3 linked regions of the Struthio camelus genome follow. The protein of the gene in region 3 purifies or fractionates together with the protein of the main gene of each other region. This does not show direct contact. Links are inferred from orthologs where the notes say so. Each region holds a gene or a part of one and is shown on either strand. Other genes may lie near its edges.

Evidence for each region. The genes of interacting proteins can lie anywhere in the genome.
Region 1: the proteins of ACTL6A (region 3) and SMARCC2 purify together in Homo sapiens (affinity purification with mass spectrometry; 8 studies listed by BioGRID and IntAct, counting the BioPlex papers as one, with this or other methods). This does not show direct contact. The link is inferred for Struthio camelus from reciprocal best matches to the Homo sapiens genes ACTL6A and SMARCC2.
Region 2: the proteins of ACTL6A (region 3) and BRD8 fractionate together in Homo sapiens (co-fractionation; 4 studies listed by BioGRID and IntAct, with this or other methods). This does not show direct contact. The link is inferred for Struthio camelus from reciprocal best matches to the Homo sapiens genes ACTL6A and BRD8.

Annotation. Positions count from the first base shown.
Region 1 is NC_090969.1:552,846-563,340, forward strand, and holds the start of SMARCC2 (SWI/SNF complex subunit SMARCC2), read left to right. Parts: upstream 1-6,173; 5' UTR 6,174-6,235; coding exon 6,236-6,346; intron 6,347-6,544; coding exon 6,545-6,664; intron 6,665-8,041; coding exon 8,042-8,127; intron 8,128-8,487; coding exon 8,488-8,569; intron 8,570-8,654; coding exon 8,655-8,747; intron 8,748-8,833; coding exon 8,834-8,903; intron 8,904-9,138; coding exon 9,139-9,208; intron 9,209-9,355; coding exon 9,356-9,431; intron 9,432-9,531; coding exon 9,532-9,663; intron 9,664-9,913; coding exon 9,914-10,029; intron 10,030-10,185; coding exon 10,186-10,310; intron 10,311-10,479; coding exon 10,480-10,495. Other genes in the region: RNF41 (E3 ubiquitin-protein ligase NRDP1), read left to right, coding at 439-574, 1,146-1,249, 1,841-2,192. UniProt on the Homo sapiens protein: Involved in transcriptional activation and repression of select genes by chromatin remodeling (alteration of DNA-nucleosome topology).
Region 2 is NC_090954.1:9,636,825-9,647,509, forward strand, and holds the start of BRD8 (bromodomain-containing protein 8), read left to right. Parts: upstream 1-6,363; 5' UTR 6,364-6,431; coding exon 6,432-6,450; intron 6,451-6,833; coding exon 6,834-6,930; intron 6,931-7,568; coding exon 7,569-7,638; intron 7,639-8,677; coding exon 8,678-8,727; intron 8,728-9,880; coding exon 9,881-10,003; intron 10,004-10,157; coding exon 10,158-10,238; intron 10,239-10,685. Other genes in the region: kinesin-like protein KIF20A, read right to left, coding at 596-760, 1,011-1,176, 1,258-1,401, 1,992-2,063, 2,165-2,276, 2,548-2,748, 3,467-3,611, 3,699-3,886 and 4 more. UniProt on the Homo sapiens protein: May act as a coactivator during transcriptional activation by hormone-activated nuclear receptors (NR). Isoform 2 stimulates transcriptional activation by AR/DHTR, ESR1/NR3A1, RXRA/NR2B1 and THRB/ERBA2.
Region 3 is NC_090950.1:24,681,165-24,691,922, reverse strand, and holds the start of ACTL6A (actin-like protein 6A), read left to right. Parts: upstream 1-6,789; 5' UTR 6,790-6,960; coding exon 6,961-6,985; intron 6,986-7,106; exon of another isoform or gene 7,107-7,274; intron 7,275-7,661; coding exon 7,662-7,738; intron 7,739-7,953; coding exon 7,954-8,212; intron 8,213-8,731; coding exon 8,732-8,832; intron 8,833-10,319; coding exon 10,320-10,417; intron 10,418-10,758.

The DNA.
Region 1 (10,495 bases), on a different chromosome or scaffold from region 3:
CTGGTCTGGCCTTGGCACCTCTGCTCTTGGTGCTGATATCTTTTCCACTTGCGAGTTGCAAACATCCAGCCAGGCTGGATGGTTGGCTTGGAAACAATCAGATCTGCCTAAGATGAAGTCAGAGACTGGATCAGGCTCATGGGCTCGCTAATGTGGGACTGATTCTGAGCCCTGATCACTTTCAGAGGAAGATAAACCCATCGCCTGCCTACCGGGAGAGACCTATGGGACCTATGCCCATTTGGTTTAAACTCTGAGGTATGATAGTGAACAGACCTTCTAAAACATGTTCAAGGTTACAGCTCTGAGCTTTCCAGAGCTTCTTGCAAGTCCTCCAAGGCTGGCTTTCTCCTGGAAGTTGTTCATAGCTATGCCAGGTGCTCTGATGTGTAACTTTTCCTAACGCGAGGCCTCCACTGTTTTTGTAATGCTCTGCAGCTTGGAAATGCCCAAAGATGAGCTGCCAAACCACAACTGCATCAAGCATTTAAGATCTGTGGTGCAGCAGCAGCAGACGAGAATTGCTGAGCTGGAGAAGACTTCGGCAGAACACAAACATCAGCTAGCAGAGCAGGTAGCTCCATGTGGGCGAGGGGTTGACTTGCAGCGGGGTCTCTGCGCTAACATCCTCTTGGAGGGTCAGTCCTACCTTTTTAGATGCCAAACGCTGAAAATGGTTTGTGCGCAAAGAAAGCGGCTGCAGGGCAGACAACTGAGAGCAGCCAGGCCCCTGCTGCCGTTCTGCGGCTCTGCTGTTCTTGGAGTCCTTTCCTTGCTCAGCATGTGGAGGGAAACCCAGGACTCCCTCTCCTGCCCTGCTCTGCCCTTTGCAGGTCAAGGCAGCCCAGAGTTTTGAGGGTATCCCCATGAGTGATCGTTACTGTGGCTTCACTGCCTGGTGGCTGAGCCTGACAACCCAAGTAGGGCAGTGCCCTCGCTCTGACCCAGCGGCAGAGCGAAACCTGCCCGTTCAAACACCAGCTTCCCCTGAAACTGGGGAGCGCCGAGAGCTCTGCTGGGGGCAGTAGCTCAGCGGATGGGCAGGGACGTGCTACTCCCTGCTGCTCTGCTGGGGTATGCTCTCGTGACTTCTAGCTGCTGCAGTGACTCCTTTTGCAAACCCTGCTGTGTCCTGCCTCTTTTAGAAACGGGACATTCAGTTGCTGAAGGCCTATATGCGAGCCATCCGCAGTGTCAACCCTAACCTGCAGAACCTGGAAGAGACCATTGAATACAATGAAATCCTGGAGTAAGTACTGGTTCTCATGCTGCTCTAGGAGAAGGAGGGGAGCCCTGCATCAGTGAGTGGAGCTGAGCCTCTGCCAGCTTAACTGACAAACGAGAGGAGGAGGAAGTGCCTTGCCAGGGAAGGGCACAGTTTGAGAAGAAAATGTGTTGTCTTGTTACAAAAGCAGGGGGCGGGGGGCAGTTGCAGGGATGTTTGCGCTAGGGAGCGGCATGTGAGCTGGTTGCACAATGGGTTCTGATCGTTTTTAGTCTTCCATCTGCATCCTGTTCACAAGCAGGAAGCTGCCAGGTTCCTTCCTCCTTGTGAGAAAGGCTGGAGGAAGTGACTTCTCATCTGATCCTTTCTTCTGTTCCCTTTTGGGAGTTAAAGGCTCTGTTCAACAAAACTGAATGCGACAGCAAAGGGACCTGCAGGGACTGCTTGTGGGGGTGGGGACAGAGGAGAGGTAGGTGGGGGGAAAAGAGGTCTTTACCATCCAGCCCAGCTCCCAGGCACAGAGCAGACCAGAGGCAGAGGAGCTCCTCAGTTTCCGTGACAGCCACCTCTAATGTGTGGCCCTGACAGTCCGCTTGTCCCTGTCTCCCCAACCAGGTGGGTGAACTCCCTCCAGCCAGCCCGGGTGACGCGGTGGGGCGGAATGATCTCCACTCCGGATGCAGTGCTGCAGGCCGTCATCAAGCGCTCGCTGGTGGAGAGCGGCTGCCCCACATCCATCATCAACGAGCTGATCGAGAACGCCCACGAGCGGAACTGGCCGCAGGGCCTGGCCACGCTGGAAACCCGCCAGATGAACCGGCGGTATTACGAGAACTATGTGGCCAAGCGCATCCCTGGCAAGCAGGCCGTGGTGGTGATGGCCTGTGAAAACCAGCACATGGGTGAGGACATGGTGCTAGAGCCAGGACTGGTGATGATATTTGCACACGGAGTGGAGGAAATATAAGGACTTTCAAAGCAAGAAACGCTTCGTGCTGACAAGGGGAGAGGAAGGAGAAGGTGAAGAGGCAGAAGGGACTGGGGGAGTAGCTGGTCAAAACCACTGGTGTTCCCTAGCCGCCTGTGTGGTTTTGTTAGAGCCTTATCCCCTTGAGCCTCTTGCTTCCTAGCTGAAATGATTAAATGCCTCTGGTAAATACTACTTAAAACACTTGGCCCAGCAGTGAACACACAGTGCAGCCCATCCGTGTTTGCCCCTTGCAGATCAGCTTCTACATGCAATGTCTTTCCAAGGGGGGAGAGGGAGAGAAAGCACAACTGCTCCACTGAATACCGCCAGACTCTTCAGACCCAGCCTGCGTTTTGGATGCTACTGCCTCCACCAAAGCCCTGGCTCTTTGTGCAACCCAAACTGAAAGGATAAGTTGATCTCGTTGTGGACCGGCCCCATGGCCACTGGTGTCTCTCTTGTTTGTCCAGTGGCTAAATCCTTCTTGGGCTTTATCTCCCTCTCTGGATTCCTCCTGCCTCACTCTTAAAAGGTTTCTCTGTTGCTCTTTCTTCAAGTCTTGCCTCCTTCCATGCCTGACTGACCACACAGTACCTTAACAGCAGGATTTGCTCCCCAGCCTCTTGTGCTGGGCTGGGGAGGGGGCATGGGGTGGGGAGAGGCAGCCCAGGAGCAAGTCCACGAACAGAGCTGTGAGTAGTGCCCCAAAGCAACTCTCGGAAACCTAAAGGCAGCTGGAGCCAAGGCAGCTGAGCTGCTGAGAGAACGAGCCTCCAGCGCTGGTGGAGGGCTGGGGCCTTCCCCCGTGCGGGAGAGACTCTGCGTTGGAGGAACCAGCCTTTCAGATGGGCTCCCCGGCCCCTGGATGCCACCGTCCCTTCAGAACTGCTCTGGCCGTGCCGCCCTCCTGCTGCCGTCGCTCCGTGCGTGCCCTGCGCTGCCGGCCCGGCCCCGGCTCCCTCTGCTCTCCGGACAGGAGAGCCCGGGCTCTCCCAGGCTCGTCGTGCAGATGCTCCTGCCCGAGCGAATGGCTCGTGGCCGCCCAGGCATCTTGTGCCATTTAAAGTTGCCTCCACGCGTTGTCCTTAGCCCTAGAGAAACGGTCCTGTCTGTCCTGTGTGCATTGAGTGTTCGCGAAGAGCTTTCTGTACTGTTACTGTTGTTACTTTTCAGACACTTGTGATTGTGGTTCTGTATTTTTTGTACTTTTTTGGCCTCTCTTGTTTGTATACCCCCCCCTTATTTTATTTTTGAAGTACCATGGACAGGCACCTCAGAACCTGGTTACGTTTACTTGTTGGGAATTTAATTTATTTGCATTTGTTTTGTTGTTTTTTACAGTACTTTTTCTCCTCCTGTGTCTGTGTTGCTCAGATACGGTTTCATCAGCTCACTCCTGTGCCCGTGTGGGCTACTGTGAGGCAGGGATTTAAATAATCAATAAACAGCGTTCTGATTGCTTTACATGGGGCTCGGACAACATCCTCACTGCCGGGATCGGGCGTCTCTGCTCCTCCTGGGAGCTCCAGCTGTCCCTGCTCACCGGGAGGAAGAAGCCAGGAGAGCACCCGTGTATTTTGGTTCAAGAGAGTTCCCTTTCCCCTTCTCTGTTGCCCCTGCAGCAGCTGTGTTTTTCGCTGGGAGCGAGCGGAGTCGGCGCTCTCCCAGGGAGGACGCGTGGGCGCACGCCAGCCTCGGAGCTCGGGTAGCTCTCCTGCAGCGGCCCCAGGTCCCTTTTCCCTGCATGCATCCCGCTCTGCGCCAAGGGGCCTTCCCGGCAGCAATGCTTCGAAGGGGCCGGAGCAGGCAGAGGGCACCCGGAGGGATACAGAGGGGAGAGGAGGCTGCTATGGCTGTGGGAAAGAAGATTTCCCCACATCCAGCTTCTCTCCCTGGCCCTGCTGTGCCCGACGCCGGGGAGCCAGATGCACGATCGCTCCCGCTAGCCCCGCGCGCGGCCTCGCTCTCCCCCTTTTCCTTGTGGGCTTTCGCGTGCTCAGTGTCGCCCACCGCGAGCGCCCAGCTTGGCTTTTGCTCCGCTGCGAGGCGTCCCCGCTGCTGCCGGGCTCTGCCTCCCTCCCGGCCCTTTCCCTCTCCTGCACGGCTCCAGCCAGCTCTTGCGGGGCGTTTCTGGCTCTTCCGCGGCGGCTCTAGGGCCTGCTGTCACTGTGGGTTTGTATCCTGTATTTTTAACGCAGCAGGAATGTTTTCTGGCGTGGGAATCTGTTGTCCGAGGTGGTTTGTACTTGTTTCGGTGTCTAGATGACGCCCTGTTTGGAGGGGCCAGTGGCGGGGGGGGGGGGTCCTCCAGCCCGGTCCCTTGTGCTCAGGAATGTGACAAAGCTGCTAAATCCAACAGGAAAACTGCACGCGCGGAGCCGCGACGGCCGCTGCCTGTGCGCCCGCTGGTTCTTTTGTGTCGCCTGCGCGACATAAACCGCCGTTCCCGGATGCTGCAGCCTGTCGTCGCTCCGGGCGCTTCTCTCCGCCGCGGGGACGCTGTGGGCGGCTGCCCCGGCTCCGCGTCCTCCCTCCGCGACCGCTCCCCGGGCCTTCGCCGGGGTGGGGGGGGGGCAGCACCCCTGAGACGGGGCTCTGCTCCCCCGGGGGTGTCTGAGGATTTGGGACCCCCCCCGGGGCATGGGGGGGGGCCTGCCCCCCAAGCAGGAGCAGCCCCCCCATAAACAGCTCTGCAGCCGCCCCAAAAGGTGTTGTGCCCCCCCCCAGCAAGGGCTCCCCCCACCCCAAGAGGGGTTGTGCCTCATCCATGCAGCACGAGCTGCCCCTCCCCATCTTCAAAAATAAAAAGCGGGTACCGGGGGGGAGGGGGGGGTTTTGACAGCATCCCCCCCCCCGAGACCCCCCAGCTGCACCAGCCCCTTTTTCGGGCCGGGCCCGGGTGGCCCCCACAAAAACAACCGTCGCGTCACGGACAGGATTCGAACCTGTGCGGGGAAACCCCATTGGATTTCGAGTCCAACGCCTTAACCACTCGGCCACCGTGACTGCCGCGCCTGCCCTGCGCCGCGCTCCGCCTAGACGGCCGCCGCCGCCGCTCCGCCCCGGCCCGGCCCGACCCGCTCGGCCCCGCTCGGCCCGGGGCGGCGGGGGCGGCGCGGACCGGGAGCCTCCAACACCGGCCGCCCCCGGCTCCTCTCGCCCCGGCCGCTCCGCGGGGCCACCCGACCCCCCCCCCATCCCGCCCCGGGCCGCCAGGGGGCGGTAACGGCCGGGGCTCCTCCCACCGCCAGGGGGCGGTAACGGCCGGGGCTCCTCCCACCGCCAGGGGGCGGTACCACCTCGACTCCTCCCACCGCCAGGGGGCGGTACCACCTCGACTCCTCCACCGCCAGGGGGCGGTACCGCCATCGGCTCCTCCCACCACCAGGGGGCGGTACCACCTCGACTCCTCCCACCACCAGGGGGCGGTACCACCTCGACTCCTCCCACCGCCAGGGGGCGGTACCACCACGACTCCTCCACCGCCAGGGGGCGGTACCACCTCGACTCCTCCCACCGCCAGGGGGCGGTACCACCTCGACTCCTCCCACCGCCAGGGGGCGGTACCACCTCGACTCCTCCACCGCCAGGGGGCGGTACCGCCATCGGCTCCCCCAGGCCGCCAGGGGGCGGTACCGCCACGACTCCTCCCACCGCCAGGGGGCGGTACCACCTCGACTCCTCCCACCGCCAGGGGGCGGTACCAGCCGAGGCTCCTCCCACCACCAGGGGGCGGTACCATCATCGGCTCCTCCCACCGCCAGGGGGCGGTACCACCTCGACTCCTCCCACCGCCAGGGGGCGGTACCACCTCGACTCCTCCCACCGCCAGGGGGCGGTACCACCTCGACTCCTCCACCGCCAGGGGGCGGTACCGCCATCGGCTCCCCCAGGCCGCCAGGGGGCGGTCGCGCCCCCCCCGCCGCCAGCAGGGGGCGGTGGCGGCCGGTCGCGGCGGGGTGGGGGGGAGGGAGGAGGGAGGCGGTGACGGCGGCGGCGGCGGCGGCGGCGCGGCGCGGCGCGGCCCGGCCCGCTGGAAGATGGCGGTGCGGAAGAAGGACGGCGGCCCCAACGTCAAGTACTACGAGGCCTCGGACACCGTCAGCCAGTTCGACAACGTCCGCCTCTGGCTCAGCAAGAACTACAAGAAGGTAGGGCCGCCCCCCCCCGCCGCCGCCGGCCCCCCCGGCCTGTCACGGCCCCGCCGCGGCCTCCCCCGCCCGGCCTCCCTCGGGGCTGTCAGCGGCGGCGGCGGGCGGGCAGCCGAGGAGGGGGACCCCCCCCACCCCCGGGGGGGGGTACATCAGGCCCGGCCTGCTCACGCCCCCCCCCCCCCCACCCCGGTGCAGTACATCCAGGCCGAGCCCCCCACCAACAAGTCGCTGTCGAGCCTGGTGGTGCAGCTGCTGCAGTTCCAGGAGGAGGTGTTCGGCAAGCACGTCAGCAACGCGCCCCTCACCAAGCTGCCGGTGAGACCCCCCCCCCCCCCCAAACCCGGGGGATCGGGCCCCAGAGACATCCCCCCCCACCCGGCGGACCGGGCCCCAGAGACCCCTCCCCAAACCCCAGGGACATCTACCTCCTCTGGGGACCAGGCCCCAGAGACCCCTCCCCAAACCCCAGGGACATCTCCCCCCTCCGGGGACCAGGCCCCAGAGACCCCCTCCCCAAACCCCAGGGACATCTCCCCCCTCCGGGGACCAGGCCCCAAAGACCCCTCCTCAAACCCAGGGACATCTCCCCCCCTCCAGGGACCAGGCCCCAAAGACCCCTCCCCAAACCCCAGGGACATCTCCCCCCCTCCAGGGACCAGGCCCCAAAGACCCCTCCCCAAACCCCAGGGACATCTCCCCCCCTCCAGGGACCAGGCCCCAAAGACCCCTCCCCAAACCCCAGGGACATCTCCCCCCCTCCAGGGACCAGGCCCCAAAGACCCCTCCCCAAACCCCCAGAGACCGCCCCCCCCGGGAACCAGGCCCCAGAGACCTCCCCACCAACCACTCCCAGGGATTGAGCCCCAGAGACCTTCCACCACCTGGAGGACCAGGCCCCAAATATCTCCTTCCCGGGGAATGGACCCTAGAGATTCCCCCCTCACCCCCCCCTCCTGAGGGGCTGGACCCCAGAGACACCTCTCCCCCCCAACCCAGGCACCAGGCCCCAGAGACCCCCGAGGACCCGACCCCAGAGACACCAGTCACTGCACTCCCAAAACACGACAACTGTGCCCCAAAATCCCTCGGCTCTGCGCCCTCCCCCACCCTCCCGTCGAGCTTTGCACCCTGAAGACGGCCAGGGACTGCACCTTGGGGACATGGTTTGCACCCCAAAGAAACCCCGGGGCTGTGGCCTAGGGACGCCGGGGGGGGGGGGGCGTGAGCAGGCAGGGGGGGGGTCTGCATCCTGTTGGCCCAGGGCAGCGCCCAAAATGCGCCTGGAGACAGCAGCCCAGTGACCCCTGCGCTGTGCCCTGCTGACAGCCGGCACCCCGGTCTGTGCCGTGTCCCGCCGGCACCCCGGTCTGCGCCCTGTCCTAGGGACGCTGCTCCAAGGTGGGGGGGGGGAGGGCAGTGCCCCAGTGACCTCCCCCCCCGGGGAAGGCGCCCCGCCCTGACCAAAGGACAACGGCCTGACCATGGACAGCGCCCCCGGACCTGGGGACAGTGCCCCGAGACCACCACGGACAGCGCCCCGAGACCACCACGGACGGCGGCCCAGTGTGCGGGCACAGTGCCCCGATGTGCGGGCATGGCGCCGTGTCTCCCCCCCCGCCCCCCCAACCCCAGCTAACTGCCCTCCCGTGCCCCCCCCCCCACCTTGCCCTGACTCCTTTGCTCCCGCTGCAGATAAAATGCTTCTTGGATTTCAAGGCGGGAGGAGCCCTGTGCCACATCCTGGCGGCGGCCTATAAGTTCAAGAGCGACCAAGGATGGTGAGCCGCCCGCCTTTCGCCCCCCCGCGCGGGGAGGGTGGCCGCGGACCAGGAGGATGGGGGGCCGCAGGGGTGGGGTGGGAGGGCGTCACGTCCTGCTCCGTCCTGGGCCTGGGGGAGCGGGAGCGGGTCGGAGCCCTTTGTCCCCCTCGAGGGACCACGTTGGGGGTGCGCTCGGGCCCATTGAACGTGCCCACTTCCCTGGCAAGCGGGTGGCGGGGCAGAGTCCCCCCTGCCTCAGCCAGGGCCCCGCGGCGGGGCTCGGGTGCTCCCCTCCCTGTCCCCCAGGCAGGCTTTGAACAGCTGATGAGGAGACCTGAGCTGTGGCTTTCATGAGAGTCGCTCTTTTCTTCCAATAAGGCGGCGTTTCGATTTCCAGAATCCTTCGCGGATGGACCGCAATGTGGAGATGTTCATGACCATCGAGAAATCTCTGGTGCAGGTAACGGGCGCCTCCCCCGGCCCTCCGCTGCCCCTGGCCCCGCTCCCTCGCCCCTGCTCACTGCTCTGCTCTCTTCCTCCCCCAGAACAACTGCCTGGCCCGACCCAACATCTTCCTGCACCAGGAGATCGAGCCCAAGCTCCTGAGCAAACTGAAAGACATAGTCAAGAGACACCAGGTAGGTGGCAGTGCTTGGAGGGGGGGGTGGGCCTCATCCTGGTGCTCAGCCTCATGGCCTGACCACCTCCTCTGCTCCCCTCGCAGGGCACGGTGACTGAGGACAAGAACAACGCGTCCCACGTTGTCTGCCCCGTCCCTAGCAACCTGGAGGAAGGTGGGTGCCTGGTGCCAGCCTCTGCAAGGAGAGTGGCTCGGGCTGAGCGTCCGCTCTCGGAGAAATGCTGTGGGGTTTTGGGGTTGGGGGGACAGGGCTGAGCGAGGCGTCTCAGGGCCGTTCTTCCAGCAGAGCAGGGACACGGCAGTGCAAGCTGCGGCCTGGGGTTGGTGCTCGATGCCCCAGTCTGCCAGCATCTGGCACTGAGTTAGCTCCCTCCCTCTGTGTCTTCCAGAAGAGTGGGTCCGGCCGGTCATGAAGAGGGACAAGCAGGTCCTCCTGCACTGGGGCTATTACCCGGACAGGTGAGCAGGGCCGGGGCACCCCGCTGCTTGCGCCCAGCCCCGCTCTCCTGGAGGGGCTCCAGGATGTGGCTGACACCATGCACTGGCCTCCGGTGAGCGAGGCGTCCCTCAGGGCACCACTCTCACCCCTGCCCCTCTGCTCCCCAGCTACGACACCTGGATCCCCGCCAGTGAGATCGAAGCCTCGGTGGAGGATGCGCCGACGCCGGAGAAGCCCCGGAAGGTAATGGGGCCGCTGGGCTCAGACGGAGGCTGGGCTTGGCCCTCTGCCTCGCCCGCGCAGAGCCGGGTCTCCCTGACTTGCCAGCCCTCCTCTCCGGCAGGTCCATGCCAAATGGATCCTAGACACGGACACCTTTAACGAGTGGATGAACGAGGAGGACTACGAGGTGACAGATGAGAAGAGCCCCGTCTCCCGCAGGAAGAAGATCTCCGCCAAGACCCTAACTGACGAGGTCAGAGCCCCAGAGAGAGCTGTGGAGTGGGGGGGGCCTGCAAACGCGTGGGACCTGGCCTGGTGCTGGGAGGATGGCGGGGGTCCAGGGCGGGAGCAGGAGCTGTCCCATCCCTCTAAAAGGAGAGGACGGCCACTCCTGTACCCCTCAGTCCCACCAACAGCATTGCAGTTTGCCACCCAGCACGGCAGTGGTGCCCCCCAGCATGCCCCAGAGGGCAGTGACCCCCCGCCTCCTCTCCCCTCTCCAGGTGAATAGCCCCGACTCGGACCGGCGGGACAAGAAAGGGGGCAACTACAAGAAAAGGAAGCGCTCACCCTCTCCCTCGCCCACCCCGGAGGCGAAGAAGAAGAACGCAAAGAAAGGGTGAGGGGCTCTGGGGCTCCAGCTGACAGCTGGGATTGGCCCTGAGTCGTGCCAAGAGGGCTGGGGTCTTGGCATGACGGGAAGAGGGAAGCTGCCGGGCACCCCCTGCCCATGGCTGCAGCCGTGATGAGGGCGCATGGGGTCTCGCCTTGGCAGCCCCTCCACCCCCTACAACAAATCCAAGCGCGGGCACCGTGAGGAGGAGCAGGAGGATCTGACGAAGGACATGGACGAGCCCTCGCCAGTCCCCAACGTGGAGGAGGTTACTCTGCCCAAAACAGGTTAGGGCCATGGCCATGGCCTCGCCACAGGGCCTGGCACTCCTGGCTGGGAGAGGCCAGGCCTGGCAGAGCAGGGGGCATCTCGCCCTCCTCCTCGCCCGTGCCTGGGCTGGGGGAGGCAGGATCGCCCTTCTCCATGCACTCAGCACCTCTTTCCTTTCCGATGCAGTGAACACCAAGAAGGA
Region 2 (10,685 bases), on a different chromosome or scaffold from region 3:
TACCTCCAGGCTGAGTGGGTCTAGGTTTAAGATGCTTTTAGTCACTTTTAAAGAGAAGTTGTCAGTCTTGCTCTGAGTTCTTCTGCAGTGAGGCTGCCTAAACACTGCACTCCAGACAGAGCCATCTCTAGAACAGTTTCCCTTCCTGCACTAGACACATTACAACTCAAGTCTCTCTAGGTATATGACCTACCTCCTTCTCTTGATCTTTCAGCTAGTCCAGCTGCCCATGCTGAGCATCTAGAAAGCTTGCTCATTTTTCCTCAACTAATTTAAGCCATCTGTTTTGCTTTCTGACCTCTAGATTGTCCTTGTGTAGTAGAGATTATGGGTCTGCAAGTGAGCTCTTACTGTCCTATTCCACAGATGGCAACGTTTTTCCAAATTAAGCATCAGCTCCAGATTTTGAGCAACTCCTGAATGTTTTCTTCATGGATTCCCAATTTCCTGGTCTAAGGATCCCATATCCTTTTGAGGTTCTCTTTCATCTCACTTTATTTAGTGCTGAGCTCCAGCTCCACCTCCCAGAACAAAGCTAACAAGTCATGTTCGTGCCCCTCTATCCATAAAGGATGTAAAACGTACCACTGCTCACCTCTTTCTCATAAATGGCGATATCTCCTTCATCCTCACTATCGTCTTCTGTATCTACTTCTTCCTTTGCCACTGCCTCTGGACCCTGGCTGGTTCGCCTGCTGTGCTCTTTAATGATTGATTGTATGGATGGAAGTCCTACCTTTGTGGGAGGTGCTTGAACAAGCTGAAGGGAAAAAAGTCTACCATTACTTCAAGTCCACAAAACCCGTAAGTCATGTAGTCTTTAAAAGTGGCGCTTTTCTGCAGTTTGTCAAACCTCTAAATTTGGCAGAATCTGGAGAAACTGTGGAGGCAATAAGCCGCTGGAGAAGCTTGGGGAGGACTTGTAAGCATCTCCCCTGCCTTGCGATGGAAAGGGCCTCATTCCCACAGAAGCACAAAGTGATGCCATGATCCTGAGGTGTACTACTAACCTGGCTGGCAATGGCTGAAAACTTGGCTACGTACAAAGTCTCATCATACGTAGATGCACACTGGTTAATGTTGACAATCATGCAAGAGCGCCCACGTCCAGTAAAGAAACCCTGGAACACACGGGTTAGCTTGCTGTCCCGGAAGGGAACCACAGTCTGCTTCAATCTATGGGGAGAGACAAGAGTGAGCCTATGGGAAAGCACAACAGCCTCCCGCACACTCTTCTGTGATGTCTTGGATGCTTACTTTGACTGCTGGTTCTGGCGGAGGGCAGCAATGCAGCGGCCCAATGTATGCAGGGAAGTGTTGATGTTGTTTGCCTCTTTCATTCGGTCCCCACTTTTCTGGTCCTTGCAGCGCTCTGAACCCGCAAGGTCACACAGGGATAGCCTGAAGAAAACGCAGGAGGTACTACATGACCCTCTGGGTTTGCCCTGTTCTACCCAGCTTTAGAAGTCAGACACCCTGTGCTCATGTAACCGTGCTCACCCTCCCAGCTTCCTTAGAGCACACGAGCACCTTTGCAGTATAGGCTACTGCTGGATGGTAAGACCTACCCTAATTGTAGGGCTTACACAAGGTAATACCAAATGAGCTCAGTGGTGCTAAGTTTGAGGATCATCTGCCAATCTTCAGGACAGCCACTTTCCAGGTACTGAGTCAACTTATTTCCAGATAACTACATGCCAGGAACAGGCATCAGCAGCAGTCAAATCAGTTCCAGTACAAGGGCAAAGCTACCCACGTTCACCTTTATTCAGAGAGCCCAACAACTACCTCAGGTTGTACTTTGCAGTGCTCCTCACAAACACCTTCCCACTATCGATTCCAGGACTTATAATGGGAACATTTACTCCTTCCAAGTACTTTCATCTAGACCCACCTCAAGATATTTCCCATACCAGCTCCATAACCACAGCAGAGACAGGAAAGTCGAGTCCACCAGAAAAAAACCTAGCCCTAAAGGGCATTGAACTTACTCGCTGATTTTGGGAACAATTTCACTGCCACCTCCTTGCAAGTGCAGAATCCGAACAGAGAAGATACTGTGACTGTAAGAAGAGGCAGATATTTAAGAAAAGGAAGCATGGCCTGTAGAAGCCCCTCAGAATTGTACGACTCGGTCTAAACCCACTGTGTTCCCACCCCTGACCTGCGACTGGAGTTCTGGTTCATGTGAGTACTAGCAAAACTCTGGTTTTTCCGACCCAGTTTCAGGAGCTTCCAGGCCTCATCAGCATCACGGACATTGATCCAATTTAGATCTGGACAAGTAGACATGCATTGAGAAAGTCAGTTAGGAGACTGGCAGAGAAATAATTATCTCAGCCCAAACTTCACTATTGCATTTCCTTGGCATTAACAAACCTCGTTTCACCCTACCTAAATATCAGAAACCTAGGGGCCACAGAGAACATTACGCTCCCCAGCACATCCGTGCTAAGCCACTTGCTCACTCCATAAGTCTCCCTCAAGTATGATCTACCCGGACCCACCCCTAGTGAACCACTAAGCATATCTTTCAGGCAAATCTACCTTTCACATAGGGGTTGCCAGTCTGGTCTTCACAGAGTCGCAATGTCTGCCTCTTGCGGTTCTGACCCGGTAGAGCTGCTTCTAATAAGTCATAGATTAACTCATTGTAAATCTCAAAGAAGGAGACCCAGATGGAGAACTGCACATCGCTTTTAGTGGTGAGTGAAATACGATCCAGGTCAGCCCAGCGAGGGCCCGGTTCTGGGGAAGAGTAAGAGGAAACAGGTATGAGTGCAGACTTTCACAAGTCCAGCCTGAATGGTTTAATTAGAGGCTAGGGTATCTTTCCTTAGCAGGAACACTATCCTAAACCGAAATGTATTCTATAACCCCCTGCCCCCGACCCAGACCTCCTCTAATGCCTATAAGCCAGCCAAATACTCTAAGCTTCCCTTTAGTGGCATCCTCCTTTCTGTATAAGGACTTTTTATGTTTGATCTCCAGTCTAGAAGTATAGGATATCTTAAACAGGAGCCCTTCCTGGCATAAGTGAAGTTATACTCCTGGTTACCTCGATGACTCTGTGCTTCTGGATATCTGATCAGCTAGTAGTTCCTAGATTTGACAGTCTGGGCACAAGTGCTCACTGCAGCCTGTCACCTTAGACAGCCTGCTTTCCCCCTATCCCCATAGCATGATGCTCAGCTGCTCAATAAGCTTATCTATGAACGAAGTAAGCAGGTGCCAAGTAATTTTTCATTTGACAAGGCTTTGTTACTAAACCATAGTCAGCCCTTCATATACTAACAACACATGCACAGTCAAAGTTCTTCAGCACAGAGATTCTCAGCTTTCCTCCAAAAAATTCTTGAGACTGTAGAATCTTCACTCCCTTACACACCAAATAACAAGCATTCCTTTCTTCCCATAGCCCCCAGTAAAAAGAAGCAGGTAGTGCACAACAGGCTGCCAGATGTACCTTCTGTCTGGCTGACGTCTGAATGGTTGGTAAATTGGCTAGAGGAAGAGAGGCCAGCAACTCCGCTGTCAAAACTGCCACTCGTGGTGGCCTGAAGCTGGGATTCTGCACTGTGACTCCTCTTCAGTGGTGTTAGCAGCTCCTCCTGCAAGAGGCGAAGAACATGAGCCTGCAGTACAATGCCGTCACTTCCCTATTCTTAATATAAATAACCTAGAAGGAGCATGCTTACCTCCCACAGACCCCCCTGCAGCAAGGTCTGTTTCTTGGTCTCTTCCTGCCGAATCTGCCTGCTGTCCAGCCACATCACCTCATTGGAGAGCGAGGGCTTCAGATCCATGGCTTGATACAGTCGGTCCCCCACACTATTGAAGATGACTGCCAAGGACCGAGGCAGAATCCCACCATCTTTACTGGTACCTGAAAGAAAGAGCAGCCACAGCAAGCTGAGGACTCAGTACACACACAGAAGCAGATAACTCCTTTAACAGGCCCTGTTCTTCTTACCCTGAATAGTGTGAGTCTTCCCTGAATTGGTGATGCCATAGGTGTAAACTAGCCAATTCTGCCCATTCAGTACATCCTTTACCACCTGCTTCATTGTGCTATCAAAGAACAGCTTCTGCCCCACATCTGGCCCAAAGATCTGCAAACGAGACAGGAAGGAAAATAGCTAGCCTCACGTTGATCTTTCTTATCTTCTGACTGACCCTTGTTTAAGTGATACTACACACTACTACTGTCCCTTCCACTTGCCCCACACCATAAACATAGACCCAGCAATCACTCCAGGCTAAGCACCTGCAAAAACAAGCTGATCATTTCAACAGCTGCTAGTGTATTTACAGCCCCATGGGGGAGGGGGGGGAGAGAGAGGGAGAGAGAGAGAGAGAGAGAGAGAGAGAGAGAGAGAAAGAGTTTGGCATTTGCTGCCAAAATGGGTGGCAGGGTCAGCTTTAAAAAAAAAAAAAACTTCAGTAGAGAGGGTTGTACAAAAGAACAACATAACTCACACAGTGCATTGGTATCACTGCTCATTAGCAACTCAGCTTTTCTAGCTGTAACACTAGTGTAAGCTCAGAAAAGTTCCAGAAGGATTGTTTGTCCCTACCTGGGTGAAAGTGAATCTATGCGCTGCTTGCCCTACTCCGCGTTCTGTGCTCCGCATGGTGAAGGAGTCCTTGGGGGCTTTCAGAAGAAGAGTCTCCGAGTTCTCAATGCAGACACAAGCCTGAAAGACCAATTAAATCCCATCACTGCAAAGGCTTACAAGAGGCCATGGCACAGACAGCAAAGGATGGTAGCTCCTCCAGGCAGGCACAGGCAACCAGCTCAAGGTGTGCTTATTTCAGTGTCTTACCTGATCTTCCCCTTTTTCTAGCTCTGTAGACTTCAGAGGTCGAACTCTGAGATACACCTTTACTTTCCCATTACTGTCTTCAGCTACAGCCTGCAAAATCAAGACAGTTTAGATGTGCTAGCCAGAGGCCACACAACCATCTGTTAGACTCGGAATGCTAATGGGAAGCACGGCATGGAACACACCCTGACCTGCTTGCTGCTCAGCAGCTAGTGCTTCAGTGGTCTCAAGAGCCCCAGAAACACCAGAAAACAAGCTTCCTTAGGCATTTTGAGGCACCTTGACATTCATTCCGTGCATCTAGTGAATCAGACCAACAGTCCAAAGAACTAACACCGAAACCAGCCAGCCCCCAGATCAAGCCTCATACCAGGAGGCACCTACTGGTTCTGGCCTACAGAGTACACTCTTCACAACAGAAGCCACTCCCAAGGGGGGCAAGATCTTCTCTAAAAGCAATGTTTTGTTCTAACCTCCTCTGAAGGGCCTCTGTCGGCCCTGTATTACAGCACCTTTTTGCAGAGACACAGCAGTCACAAGCCAGGACACTATCCTGTTTGTGGGAAAAGCGTTCCAACCTCACCTGCTGGGAGCCCCCAAGCTCTGGAGAGATGGCAGAGAACTCTGACAGCAAGTCCTTGCGCACATCAGCCCCAAACCCCGTTGCTGTGGATTCAAGAACAGGGGAGGCTGCAGCCTCGTCATCAGAGAACAGCCCTGGGGAGAGGAGTGCCTGGGCCATGGCGTCTCACACAACTCCTGGAGAAAAAAGGGGCACAGTGGAAACAGGGTGATGCTACAGCAGCCTTCAGGAGCCCAAGCTTCGCTTTTCACAAACACCCGCCATGCACAGTCCACCGCGCAGCCGCTCAGCACACACCCTCCCACATGGACACACCCCTGCATGCACACACGCACACCACCATCCACACATACCACCACAGGACCCCCCCCTCCACACACACAGACCGCCATGCCAGACCCCCCCTCCACACAGCCCCACACGGAACCTCCTACACAACTACATACACCCCCTCCCCACCATGCAGGACCCCTCCCTCCCCCTCGGGCAGGACTCTCCTCCCACCCACATACACACACTGTGCAGGATCCCCCCCAACACAGACACCCCGTACAGGACCCTTCAGGACCCCCCCACACTCAAAAACACCCCGTGCAGGTCCCTCCCCCCTAAACACACACACCCCGTGCAGGACCCCCCCCACCCACATACACACCCCGTGCAGGACCCCCCCCCCCGCATACATACCCCACACACACCCCCCAAGCAGGATTCCCCCCCCCCCCCCACCGGGAGACCGACCCCTTCCCCCACACGCGGCAGCGCTGGGCCGCAGCGGCTCGCGCCCACCTCGCCTCCGCGCGGCACCTTCTGTTAGGGGTTTCAAACCTCGCCGCACGCCCGCTCCGCCAATGGGAGCCCGAGCCTGCGCGGCCGCCAATCACCGCCCGCCGTGCCGCCGCAGGGGCGGGGCCCGCCCGCTCGGCCGCCAGCGCGCTCGGGGGGGTGGCAGGGGGCGCGCGCGCCTCCCAGCGGGCTTTGCGCGCTGCTCCGCCCTGCCTCCCTGGGGCCAGGCGGGGAAGATGGCGGCGGGCACGGGCAGTGAGTGTGGGGCTCGCCGTGAGAGGCAGGGACGGGGGAGGGGGGGAGTACGGCGGCGGGGGAGCGGCGGCGGCGGCCCGTGGCGGCGAGGCTGGGGCGGGGACGAGGACGGGGACGGGGAACGACCCGAGTAGGGTCGAGCGGTTCTGAAGGGAGGAGGCGGGGCCAAAGGGGCTCGCGAAAGGGGCGGGGCTATGGCTGTGGGGCCCGGGAGGGGCGGGCCGAGGGGCCCGGGACTGGGCGGGGCCGTGGCTGGTGGGGGCGGGGTGGAGCGCCAGCCTGGGGGCGGGGCCGGGGGCGAGGCGGGAGCCGGGGGGTGCCCGGGTCGCGGCGGGCTGCGCACGGGAGGTGCGAATCGGGGGATTTTTCCCTTCTGCCGGCAGAGCACAAGCTGCTGAGCGCCGGCCCCACAGAGCCCTGGTCCATCCGCGAGAAGCTGTGCCTGGCCTCGTCCGTCATGCGGAGCGGGGACCAGAACTGGTAAGGGGCTGAGCAGAGCCCAGCGCGGACCCCGACGGTGGCCCTTCCTGGCGCTGCCTGGCCGCACGCGGGATGTACCCGCACCGTAGCGGCTAGGCTTCACAGAGCAAAGCACGGATTCGTGTTGTGTTGGCATGTTGCGTTTCACCACACCGTTTGGTTGTGCACTGGCTGGTCTTAAAACATTCTGCTTTCTGTGGACTTTCTGTTCAAAACAAACGTGGAAGTATTAGACACGTAGCTTGAAAATCTTTGTTCTTATTTTCTAACTACTTTGTGAAAACAGAAGTGTGTTAATTAGAAGAATGAAAGAATAGCATGTTTATAAATTGGATGAAGTGACCTGACTTTACCAAAGTAAAGTTTTTGTTGTGGAAACTTAAAAGTGTCCTCAGAAGCTAGAAACTTGCTTTTCAAAGCAAAGGAGGGGGTGTATTTTTGGCAGTAGGCAAATATTTTTGAGTTCTAAAGTTGTCCTGGAATAATTCCCAAACATAACAACTCTATCTAGACCAGTTCAGTGCAGTTATGGGGACTGTTCAGAGTGGTGAATATCGAGACAGGTTAGCACCATTTCACTGCATGTTGGTCAGGGTACAAAAGTAGGTGGACAGTGGCTCACGATTTCTCTCCTGTAGGGTCTCAGTCAGCAGAGCTATCAAACCTTTTGCAGAGCCAGGCCGCCCACCTGACTGGTTTTCCCAAAAGGTAAGATACCGGCTTTTGCATCTTGCGGAAGATGAGTTATCCATTGGATATACACGACAGCTGCTTAGGAGACTGTTGTTTTTGTTTGTTTTTTGGTTAAAAAAAAAGGAAAAAAGAAAAATATTTTTAATAAGTTTTATGCTTAAGTTGGATTAAATACCTTTTCCTGTTTCTGCAGTTAAATTTGAGCTTACAGCAGAAGTTGGAAAAGGTTCATAAAAAGACAAGAAGGGTGATCAAAGGCATGAAACAGCTTCCATGTAAGGGACAGCTCAGTAAGCTAGAACCCTTCAATATGCAAGAAGGATGACTAACAGGAGATACAGGAGAGATGTTTGTAAAATCAGAAATGGCATGCTGAGGATGAATAAGGATTAATTGTTCACTGCCTTATCCAATACAAGGGTTAGGGGACATTAAATAAAACTAACAAGAGGCAGATTCAAAGCAAACATGCATGGCACGTAATTAAGTTGTGGAATTCCTAGCCACTGGAATTTGTCATTGCCGTTGTATTATATTGTATTTTGGTGCATCCAGCTGTTGGGGCAGGCATCAGAGAGTTTTGTGATATAAGGACCAGAAAGAGATTAAGACAATCAAGGAAGGAGGAGTCTTTTTTTTTTTTCCTATGTTGCTCACTGTTTTCTTAGTGCTGTTAAACTATGAAACTAGCCTTGTTATAACGCTACCTTTTCTTCTGCATTGAAAGATTTTTGGTGCATGTTCACAGAGGGAAGCATAACAGCTGCAGTTCCTCCTCGTGCTTGCTTTCTTTGATTTGTAAATTGTTAGTTGGGAACATCTCTTTATTATTGTTTTGAAGGTCAGCCTGGGCAGTCCTAGAGTAGGGAGGGAATATGCTTCCTCATGTTGAGGTACATTAAATTGTAATTATGGAGGAACCTGTGGGAACCTTGTCAGATATGTCCAGAAAGACCTCTGAAGGAGGAAGAATAGGTGCCCTGAAGGCTTTGTTGATAATCGTTTGCTGATGGTGACTGTTGGGTGTCATCTAACTTTCTTTCTTTCTTCTTAGCACTGTGCCTCCCAGTATTCAGAACTCTTGGAGACTACAGAGACCCCTAAGTGAGTACAAAGTCTGAAGCGAGGGCTGTCCCTAGCAATTCTGGAGGAACTTGTCAGTTCTTACAGCAAAGCACTTGATAGTAGTTTGCCCAGGAGGAGCGTACAGGGATGAAGAAATTCAGTTGTGATAGCTGGCTTGGGCAGGCACTGTGATTAGGGTATGGCAGATGTTGAAGACTGACTCAAAGGGAAGAGCAGCTGGGAAGCAAGCCTAAGGTATTCCTTAGAATATCCTTCCCATATTTTTATCTGGTCTGCTCTTTTGAAAGACTGAAGTATTTCAGTAGTACCTGATTCTAAAATTGGTCACTGTGTGCTTGTTCGTGTCTTCCTCATACCCCTCCTATCATTACAGTGCTAGTACATGGCAAGGTATTTGGAGTCTCTTGGCGCAGGTACATTTATGCAAGTTGCAATATGCGTTTGGGGAGGTAATGCAGCAAACAGGAACGTTTATTTGCCTGGAATAAAACCCTACATATTCGTCTTACTAATCAGAAGATCGTATACATAAAATTAGACAAAAATACATAAAATTACACAAAAATAGGTAAAATTATAGTTCAGAATAAGGAGAAAAAAGTAGAAAACTAGTAGAAGTGAGGTGAAAAGTTATGACTGTCTTTACTTTGCAATGGTTTCAGATAGTTTTCTTATCAGTGTTACCACTGCAGCTTCATGGTGTCAGATACTTCTCATCCTGAGTTGAAGCATATTGCGTAGGGACCTGGCATCAAATTAAATTAAAGGCGAGTTGTTTAAAAGAAGTGTTTATGTAGGATAGTGCTGAATGAACATCAGTAGCAGTGTTATAAAAACAAAGGGCCTGGTAGAGTTGTTGAGAAAAAGTAGATGTTTCATCACAGATAGAAAGAAACTTCTCTGAAGTTGAAGGCTTGATTTGCAGATTGAAAATTTGAAATGGGCTTGCATCTTTGGTCTTCAGAAGTCTTTAATATTGGACACATTTAATGATTGGAACTTATCAGAAGAGATTGTTTCAATATTATGCCTTCCAATGTTATTTGAGGGAAATTGAAAGAGGAGGTTGATTTTTGTGGCAGGAATGACAGACAACAGTCATTTATGAAAGGAGAACTGGGATTTTCTGTGGTTCATTCCTGAACTGTTTTATTTTTCTCTTTTTCTACAGGAGAAAGCGTGGTGAAAAGGGAGAGGTTGTTGAAACTGTGGAAGATGTTATTGTGCGGAAACTGACTGCAGAACGAGTTGAAGAATTGAAGAAAATGATTAAAGAGACGCAGGAGAAATACAGGTATTTGGTAGAGGCATTAAGCTGTGGTGCAGCTGAAGGCTGTGTCTTGAAGAAGTGGCGTGGGTGAGGAGGAGCACGGGGTAAAAATATGTGGAACAAGAGCTGCTTAGGATTTATTGTTGAGTGATCAAATAAGAAGATTTTCTGATTACAGGCAACTCAAGAAGGATGCGGAGCTGATCCAGGCTGGACACATGGATAATAGACTGGAGGAGCTGTGCAATGAGATTATGATGTGGGTTATTTAATTATTTCCTCATTACACTTGCCTCTGAGTTTGTAGTCCCCTGACGCTTTGTGCCTGGCAGAGTTCTCTTGCTCAATGCACTTAGGGCTAAGAGATACCAGATAGCAGGGCAGATGCTTTGGCTTCTAAGGGTGGACTTAATTTGGACTGTGGGGCACGAGCTTATGGGGAATGTGTTTTGGAGTTCTGAGTGAAGAGCTTGGTGATGGCTTGCGACACCACGCTTGCTTCCTCTTTTTTAGTAGTCAGCTGGAAGTGAAGCTTTTTGCAAAGTGTGTCATACTCTAACTGGCCTCTGACTCTGCCTCCCTCCTCAGAGGGATTGAGCCTGAGCCCGCAAAGGCACTTCATTATCGCCTAGAGATTATGGGGCAGGGGTCCATAAGCTGATTGTGCAAGAAGAACTAAAGGGCAGCAGGATGCCGTGTGACAGTA
Region 3 (10,758 bases):
GAGATAAGTCATAAAGTCTGTGTTCTGCACGGATTATCTGTTGCCAGCTAATATAATACAGCTTATGCTGCAATTTTATCCTCTGTGGAAGCACTGTCTCTCCCCTCCCGATACACTGTTTTCATGAAACTTCTAACCACCGAGCACCTTTGAGAACTCTAGCTCTTTGTCATATTTGGTTGCAAATGATGGCAGGTTCAAAAACGGTCAGTGGAGTAGAGACCTCACTAATATACAAAGGTAACATAAACTCGTTTTCCTAAAAACACTGATTTAAAAACACCTGAGACTTGCCTACATTAGTTCTCCCCCACCATGAGCATCCCTAGACACACTTAGAAATTCTATCTCCAGTTTCCTTAACTGTTCATAGAAAACAAGTACCATGAGTGATGATAAAACTCTTTTTCCCCTTAAAATTATTCGATAGTTTAGAAGTTCATTCAAAAAAAAAAAAAAACAAAATACCAAGATTGATGTGGGGCGGTGCTTTAATATGCTGCTTATATCCTGCTAGAAATAACATCCCTGACCACCCTCCAGCTAATTTTCATATAAAAGAACAAATACTGAAGATTATCCACACGTATAACACGACATGTCAGGACTCAAGGAAAGCTCACCATCTGCAGTTCTTGTCAAGTGCTGCACTACACCACACCTTTTCCCGACAACATTTGGAAACACCGATTCCTCACAGTTTCACTTGCAAGAAAGACGTCTTGGGCCTCTCGGTTACAATTCTGCTGCACTGAAATAAAAGACATCGTAACAGTTTGAAAGTGGCAAGAGAGGAGAATCAGACTCCATGATAACTGTCTAAATGGAAAAAAAAAAAAAAAAAGGACTAAGAATGCGCACGTGATATAAAATCAGGATTCTCAGGAGAGTTATTAAAAATGCCATGAACTTATTTGTTCCAGCAATTTCAATGACTAGCATCATATAATGCAAAGATCTTATCTAACTTACCAAAGACTTTTTAAAATGGAGCATATTAATACAGATGTGTGTCAATGCTGTAATTGAGCAGCTCATACGTTTGAACAGTAGGAGCAAGACTGCCCTAGAATACTGATTTTCTGTGAATAAAGATTCAGATAGCGCATTGCAACCCTAAACTTCCCGGTATAAATTGGTGTCTTCTGAAAAAAGCATATCCTCTTCTGTATCAGACTTCTTGCTGCAGCGCAATTGCATAGCTCTATGTACTCATTTTGGATGACTGGTACAACAAAGTATATACTTGTCATAGTAATGACCTGAATGAATTCAGGAAAAATGTGATAATCTTTTGTGTCTACGTGCCTATCCAGCAAATACGTTCCTCTTTCCTCAATGACATTCCATTTAATACTTAAGTTTATAATCATCTCTCTTGTGATACAGTAATAAGTAAATCTAGAAAATGACATCAGTATCTTGTTTTTTGAAGCCCAACAAAAATAACGCTACTCTAGTCTGTGTTCTAACCCTGCTACATTGATGCTGATTTCCAAAGTCTTTTGCCCCCTGCTTTGCCTATGCCCTCTCCTGGTGGTAGAACAAATACCAACAAACATACATACTTGGTTACACCAAAACTTCCCCTTCAAAAGACACGTTTCCAGATGTCAAGTAAAAACAGCTTTCTGTGGTAGAACAGGCCAAGAGTTCAAGCTTAATTTGGTTCCAAAAAGATAACGTTAAAAAGTAACATGACTCTGTAAAATCATCGATTCGCACCACAGCCCTACTTAAAGGATCGTATTATTTCACCCCGTAAAAAAACGCATAAGCAGAAATAGGGTCTCAGGGCTCTTCTCTTGCAGAGTCAGTTAACCAGCAGACTCTCCTTCTGGCTTCCTTACCTCTGGCTACACAGAGCCATAATTCTTAGCTCCATGATTTCATAGTTCAAAACCGCTAGTGAGAAAACACAGCGTTTCCCCCTCCCCCGGGAAGCTGGGAATAGGAATTTGAACCTTGTGAGGCTGAAGACAGAGCATCTGCCCAAGAAACAAGAGACCTGTGCTCCATGCTACCTGCTCAGCTATTATACTCAAGTCTCCCTTCTAGCAGGGGATCAAAATGCCCTATATAACGGTAAGGCTCAGTTGATACAAAGAGCTACTGTTTATCAACATAAGCTGGCTCCACAACTGTAGGTGGCTTTGTTTGTGCAGTACTTGTTGTGAGATACAGTGAGCCAGCTCAGGTTTGGCCCAGCTGCCAAGCTAATAAGCCCTGCAAGAATCCAAAGAGACTGCAGAACAAGCGCTAAGCCTGAAACAGTAAGTGCTGCCAGACCTGAGCCAAACTGAGATGTCTGAACACAAGGGACTCATTTGAGAAGGCGATACAGGCACACTTCAGAGGTTCTGGCCAGAGCTGGCTTAGCCCAGCACACCTATTACCTCAGGATCAGTTCCAGGCAAGTACTGCTCTACCATCTTCAAACCTAAGCTGCCTCTGTGAGTTTGTACTGCGTTTGAGCTAAACAAGGCAAGCGGTCCAGAGTCCTCCCAGCTGGTTTCACAGGAACCAGTTCAGGCTCAGAATAACGTAGCAGCATTGCTATTATGTGGGTTTTTTTCCCATTCTCCAGGGCATCCTAGCCCCTATTATTCCAGCCAGAGCCAGCTGCAACCTCAGCATGCAAGGCCATTTTTTTCTCTGAAAACTAGTCAGGCTCTCTACCACTGACGGAAAGTTGACTGTTTATTAATGGCAAGCACCATCACCTCTTCCTTCAATCATGTTCTAAAATGACAGTGAGTCACGGGCCTTTTACAAAAGGACAAGTTAGACACCAGCTCCAAAAGGGGATTCTGGGACATAGCTCCCTATGACTCCCTAGCTAACATCACAGACAGACTTCAGACATACTTCCTCTCTTCAGCACTTTCTACCACTCAACTCAAATATCCTGTGGAGTGATTTTCCTGTTGCAAATCCAGTTTTAAGGCACCTGCCTCTCTTTCATTTTGGAGGAAACATAATACAGAACCCGGATTCCTATCGTTGAGCAAGGCACCTAAAGGCCAGGTGTGGCAATGCTGAGGCCCCTTAGTGAGACTTAGCGTTTAGTTTGTGTTCTAGTTCTCTCTCTGCAGAATGAGGGTGATAGTGTATTTATTCTCAAAACATCCCCGTAAGAAAGGGAAGTATTAAAGTTGAAAAACACCCAAACACGTTAGCAATCAAAGTGAGAAGCTGAGAGATCACATAAAGTGACTGAGTGAATGAATATTAATAATTGTTTGACTTTTTCATCTACAGATGCTTTTATAGTTCACATAAACATCTAAGACCTCCTCTGAAAATTAGAAAAATAAAACCTTTAACATGCGTTTTGCAATCAAGAAACAAGGATGAAGACAGACATTATGAATAACCCGCTGTCACCATCACTCTGCTGCCTGGGACATGGACTGGCAGTTGTATGACACTGTTCAAAAAGAACAGGCCACTGGCAACCCAACAGGGATGAGCAGCTTACTGAGAAACAAAAAAAAAATTCTGTTCAATTTTGGCTTGAAATTACACCATTTTCTACATTGCTTTATATTACCAGAAAGGTTCAAGCACATGCTTGAAACAATTACGTATTAACAAAGTTAAAAAACTCAGACAATAATCAAGAAGCTCCAGAGTCTCCTGACTACCACTGATGAAATTAACTTTTGATTACTAGCAAGCATCATCATTTGGGGTCTTTATTCATGCCCCACTTCTAAGATGATCATTCTGTTTATTCCTGCGTGCCAATTTATGTTAGTGTCTGACTCCAAAGTTATTATATACAATGTCACATACAGTAAATCAGTATGCGGTATCACCATGAAAAGCAAGTAGTGTGTACCATACCTACACATGCAACCACTGCCGAGATGCTATTGCCATTTGTACCAATACGGGAACTTAGATAAAATACATTTAATGTTTCCATTCACTGTTATTCTCTAATCCTTGCTTCTGAGAAAACTATGCAAAAATGTTTTTAAACAAGAATATTTAGGTATGTTATAGTCAGCAGTGGCAAAATTCTAGGTTTTACCTACTCTTAGGCAAACATAGGATAACCTGAAGGAATTCTGTGAAATAAGACGTACACCTGAAATAAGACGTACACCTGAAATAAGACGTACACCTGGTAAGCAAGACCAGACTCTGCTGAAAGATGCTTCGAGTCTATTTCTCTATTGCCTTCTCTACTGCAGATACTCACACTGTTGTAAAGCAAATGCAGGCACTCTAAAACGTAATTAAACCACAGTGATGACGTTCTACACACTCTTTCCACTGATGTAAATGCCTACAAAAGTGCAAGGCAGTGAGAAGTCAGACCTAGACAGTTTACAGCCTAAATATCCCTTCCCAAATCCTTCTAGCTTCTTGAGGATTACACAGGTTTGGTTTCATATCCTGGTGCTCTTCTAATCCTGAGGCTGCCAAATATCAGAATGATCTTTAGTGAATACTACTTGGCTTGCTGCTAACAGTCCCCAGCGGCCACTGTACTGGGGACCGTTAGCGGCAAAGATTAGTCAAGCACAGGCACATCCTCTCTCCCCACCACACACTGCCACGTGCCTCTTTACTCCGCCACGCGTTTTCTGCTGGTATCACCAAGAATTCTTCTATATTGAAGAAATATTGGAGAAAAGGAAAGAGGCACAGTACTGCCTTTGTTTCTGGCATGCAGATCAATCATCAGTAGCTCTTGTGCAGAGCAAGATCTGGCCCAAAGCGTCAATTGGCATAAGAATACCATGAACGTTATTACAATAATAACCAAAGTACAACCACAAGCTAAATGAAGATCCTCCGGTATTTTAATGCCGAATTTTCTGAACTGATTTTCCTAAGAGTAATTAATTCCACCTCCTCAAACAACTCTGCCTTGGGTATTAGTGCCACATACTGGAAATCATGATAATACATTAACATTAAAAGATTTTATAAGACAAATGTGAGGTGCACTGACTTCATCTGGTACAGTTAGTGCAAAAGCAGGATTTACATCTTTCTTCCTAACACTAGCATCTCTGTTTTGTAGTTTTATGATATTGTGAGTTATGTCAAAACTACAAATTTCCTACTGTCATGAAAAAATTATGAATTTTGCTCATTAAAGAAACAGAGAATCAAACTGCCTGTCAAATTAAATTACTTACCCTTGAAAGCTATTATGTCTAACCGTCTCCTGATTTTCTCATAACTGCATTAAAAAAAACCCAAACTTGTTGTCTCTTACTGTTGGATTTTAGCATTTGTGTTGTATTTTGGTTCACAAAGAGACTTAAGGGGAGACTGTTAGTCAGCACCCTACCTTTAACTGCAACAGATTGGGAGCTGTAGTCAAAACACACACATTTAGCCTGCTCTTTTCCTTCACTAGCATAAAGTTTGCTGAAATCTGCAATAATCTGTTCTATTCACAACAGCTTCACAAAACCTCTGAAGTAATATGCCTGGGTGTACCAAATGTAAATGTTCTATTTCTTCTCATTTCACTGATCAAAATTGAAATGTTGCTAAAGTCAAACAAAATAAGCAGTGTAAATAAAGAGTGAGAGTGGAAACTCAGGCTACAACTTAAAAAACCCCAAAGCTTTGTAAGAAGTACTAAACTACCTATCAAAATAAGACTAAGCAGGACTCCTGCACTAAGCAGAACTTTTTTTGCTTAAAGTGAAAATATAAGAAACACATTTTTTCATGTTTATAGTCCAATAATTGTTACTGTGATCACTCATTATGCTCTGCAATACTTGGTAAGTAAATGCAAAGATAATAAATCAAATGCCGCTCTATTATGCTGATCGTACATAATCATGCCATCTGAGTTCAGTATCCTCCTGCAGGATTCAGAAATAAACTACACATCCTATGTGAATTTGAAAAGAGCATCCATGACTATAAAGTAGGCCACACACACACACACAAAGATCAGCCCTCACCTCCTCCAAAATAACCCACGCAGGAATTCAAAAAGGTGCACACCAAGAACGCTTGTATTTTAAGCCGATTTCCCTACTCTTAAGCTTTTACTTTTCTCTAATACTAACCTCTGGTATACCTCAGGTCTTTTTCTTTTATCAACTTCCTACAACTTTCTAGCTTCCCCTCTCTGGTCCTACTGGTCAAACGCCAAGTTTGGCTGAATGCTTTTGACACCAAACAAGGCAATCTCTTCTCCTAATTACAGGTTCAGCTATTTAACAGGCAGCCGAGCTAGAAAATCAAAACTGCTTAACTGGCCAGATGAGCTAACCTCAGGGGCCAAGCTCTGAGGTGCAAAGGAGTGCCTCAGGCAGGAGAGGAAGAGCATGGTGTTGCCGTACCAGTACATACTTCCAGCGCATTTTATTCCCGGTTGAGGAGCCCTAAGGAGCAGCGACCGGAGCCGGCGGGAGAAGGGCTCAGAGAGGCCCCGCCCGCAGCGACCGTGGCGCCCTTCCACCGCCCCCGCCCCGGACACCCTCTACCCACCCCACCGCCCGCTACCACCCAACCCCTCGTGCAGGCAGCATGCCCACCCCGCTGGCCCTCGGTGCGCCTAGTCGCCTTCCCCGCCTCGCCGGCCCGGCCCGGCCCCTCCTCACACGCAGCCCGCGGACGGCCCTCTCCTCACACGCCTCCACCCCCGCACGCTGCACCTACGCTTGCTCGCTCGCTCGCTCGCTCGCCCGCCGCTTCCCGCCTCAGGATTGGCTCCCCGCGCTCTGGCCCCGCCTTCCGCCGGCTCCGATTGGCCGCTCTGCCCTAGCGGCCGCCGGGCAGGGCGACGCGCGGTAGGCGGGCGGGCGGCAGCCGCGCTCCCCATTGGCGGGAAGGCGGCAGGCCGGCGGGTTAGGCTGAGCCCGCCGGGGGCGAGAGGGGCGAAGGCGCTATTGTTGCCGGATCGCCGAGGAAGCCGGCGCGGCGGCGGCGGACACCGGGCCCGGGGAGCGCGGCGCGGGCCCAGCGGCAGCCATGAGTGGCGGCGTGTACGGCGGAGGTGAGTCCGGTGCCGCCTCGCTTGTCCGCCCCGCCCCCGCGCGACCGTTGAGCTCGGCGCCGTCCCGTGAGGCGGCGGCGCGTGCGCGCCTCCCCCACCTCCGCCCCCCCCCCCCGCCTCCGCGCGCCGCCCCGGCCCTTCCCGCCCGCCCGGCGGCGCCCTCAGGCCCCGGGCGCCGGAGGCCGCGGCCCGGCTCTTCCGCCGCGGTGGGGGGCGCCAGCATGAGCGAGGAGGAGGAGGCGGCGGCTGAAGGCCTTACTTGTATCCCTCCCGGGGTCGCGTCGCCGAGGTACTTTGTCCTGCGACTAGCCGAGGCGCGGCAGCGCCGCTCGGGTGGCCTGGGCAGACCTGGCTTCGCGTGACTTCACTGTTTGAAAGCTCCGTCCTGTAATCCGTGCAGATGCAGCGACGGTTTCTCTCTCCTGTTGAAGTGGCCGTTTTTACTTAAGCCGAAGGAAGTTGCTGTGGCGTCCCAGTTAAAGCCTGTTGGCGGTCCTGTAGTCGCTCTCCAGAAACCTGAATTCTGAATAGACAAGTTTCTCCTTGCGTTGGAAATAGGCCTTGACTTGCTTTTCTCTTTTGCCGGCCAAATGGACAGGAGGCAGGGCAAAGGCAGGTCGGGGTTGTAATGGAGTGTAATAATCGTTGACTCTCTCTGTATTCACAACATTTACAGATGAAGTTGGGGCTCTTGTGTTTGACATTGGCTCGTATACAGTGAGAGCAGGCTATGCGGGTGAAGACTGTCCAAAGGTGAGAGTTTGTGTGATTGAAATATAACATAAAAACTAGAACTTACCTTAGAACCGGTTAAAATACCAAAACCACCAAACCTGTTAGTTGACGAGTTTCCAGAATACATTGGGGTCTTTATTTTTACTAAGGTGTATAATGAAAGGTCTGAATTTTATGAACCGTCCTCCCAAAACATGAATAATGTTCATGACTATTTACCTGTTGCCTTACAGGTGGATTTTCCAACAGCTATTGGTGTGGTGCTAGAAAGGGACAATGGCAGCACTTTGATGGAGATAGATGGTGACAAAGGCAAACAAGGGGGCCCGACTTACTACATAGACACCAATGCCCTGAGAGTTCCACGGGAAAATATGGAGGCCATTTCACCCTTAAAAAATGGAATGAGTATGGTGCTCTGTCTTCTTCTATCTGTTCTTAAAATAGCGTTACTTGGGCTGCAAAAAAACATAGCTTTCACAGAAGAAGTTGGTATGTGCTTAAGTGTTTCTCTTTTGGGGGTTTGGAGAACAGGGCCTAAAACGAAAGAATCTGCTTTCCCTAAAGAAATTTGGATAAGACAGTAAGCATTTGTCTGATGTAAGGGAAGGCTTGTAGGCTTCTTTCTTATTTGTTGACTTGGATTTAAATTTTGATAAAAGGAGAAAGAGGTAATTTATGGAACTAGGTTGGAAGCTCATTCCTGTACTGTGTGTAAGTGGAGGCTCATCCTAAGACCGTCATAAGAACAGATATCTGATGCGCTAGTTGCATAAAGTGTAGCTGGTTTATGATGTTGATAGATTTTTAGCATAATTCTGAGTATGTTATGATCATGATACTTATAGAGGAATAGAATTTTGCAGAGCTGTTAAAGGAGGAGTATGTCTTTGAGTATAGCCTTGGACTAAAGAGCTTTAGGAAAAAAAGAAATCACAGAACCTTTATGTATGCGTGAAGTGGAACAAAAGTTAGAAGTAAACTAATCTGCTTGCTTCGATGTTATTACAGTTGAAGACTGGGATAGTTTCCAGGCAATTCTGGATCACACATACAAGATGCATATTAAATCTGAAGCAAGTTTGCATCCTGTTCTAATGTCTGAAGCACCAGTGAGTAGAAGCAACTTTGCGTTTTTGAAAAGCTTTAACTGCATCTTCTTGCTAAGTTTACAAGCATTAGTCTTCAACAAATCTGATGCTGGCTTGTAGATTACGAGTATTAAAACTTACCTAGGGAAGTAACCATTTTAAAGTACTTTTCCAGATTGTTGGAAGTAGTCTGTTTAAGAAAAATGGCTAAAAAAAAAAAGCCAGTTTGAAATGCTTTCTGTGACAAGGCACCGAAACTATTTACCATGTGCTATTGTTTTTTTAACTTACTGAAAAGAAGCAAAAAAACAAGTTTCACTTTATTCCCTGGAGTAAAAATGAAAACATGTTAGGACAATAAAGTTATACTTAGTAGAGTGCCGTTGGAAATCTGTCACTGCCTTTAGCCCACCAACTAATATTACATGACAGAGAAGAATATTTATAATGAAGAAATTTTAATTTGTCTCTCTTCATTTCTGTAAAGGGCCTTGTAAGGCGAAGTGGACGAATCCAAATTTCTCTTTGGGAAAAACAAACAAACAAACAAAAACCTCACCCTCTTGTTTGCTTGTGGCAAGCATTCGAAGGACAGATGTTAAAATCTGAATACAAGATGTTGGCATGCCATACTGTAGTTATGCCCTTCTTTAATAAAATCTTTGAGTAGGATTTGCTTTATCCCTTTATATGCAGTTGAAGCAGGCTGATGTTCTTGAGATGAATTCTTGGTTACAGTCCCTTGGACTTATTAAAATAGCTAAAAACAAAAACAACATCCACCCCGCCATGATTTTCATGCACCACCTGAGGAGGTGGTTGTACCTGGCTGGAGTACAGATGAATTTGCGGCAGTTATTGCCTGTTTGATGGCTCTATGGGTGTCTCAGTAAAGGTTTCCATTAGAATTCCCCTCACAGAACTAATCTTACTTCGAATCATTGGCATAGAAAGAAAGACTTTGCTTTTTCAGTGATGTGCGGAATATTTGAAATATATCCTTGCTTAATCACAAGTACAGTAGAACTGTAGGAAGATACCTTAAAAACAGGCAAATCTGGATTTATTTTTCTTTCAACCAGGCAAGTTATGTCATGTATCTTTCCCCTGTACAATGGGTGTTACTTGTTTTAGATTTTTTTGAGAGACTGATGCTGGAAGATCTCTAGAAGGGTGAAGGACTCTTTCTTGTAACTGTAAAGTTGTATATGTCTTACCCTGCTTATCAGAAGTCTTCCTGTATTATTAAGTTGCTGCTCCTTTAATTTTGTATAAGAGATAAATATTAATGTTTTTGTCATAGAATTGGAATGGAAAAGATTCTAAGTAAAATTCTAGCAGTCTATCTGCATAGAATTTAGATATGATTTGAAACCATGGTTCTAATAATTGTAACTGTTCATTTTGTTAGCGTCCCTTGAACGTGCTCTGATGATCCTCAGGATAAACATCTTCATTTTGATCACTTATTTGTGTGTATGTGGTTTTTTTTCTTCTTCTTTTTCTAGTGGAATACTAGAGCAAAGCGTGAAAAACTAACTGAATTGATGTTTGAACACTACAACATCCCTGCTTTTTTCTTATGCAAAACCGCTGTTCTAACAGCGTATCCTTTGAAATGTTGAGCCTTTTTTTTCCCCAAGAAAAGGTGGTAAACTTATTCTAGATAATTCCTAGTAAAACAACATATCTAACCATTTTCTTTCAAATTAATGTTTCCGTAAACATCTAGGCAGGAAGGAAACAAATTCCATTTCTGAACTTGAGCCTTAGAGCTCAGTTTTGAAGTCCTCCCAGTCTGACTGTCTTGCATGGAGGCAGTGTCTTTTTTCATTGTATACCATGATAATAATATTAGACGTCTGAAATGGCGTTGTCCTGACTCCTAAATACGGTAATGAAGGCTATAGGAACTTCAAACTTTAAGTTGAAATTTGTAGTTATTTT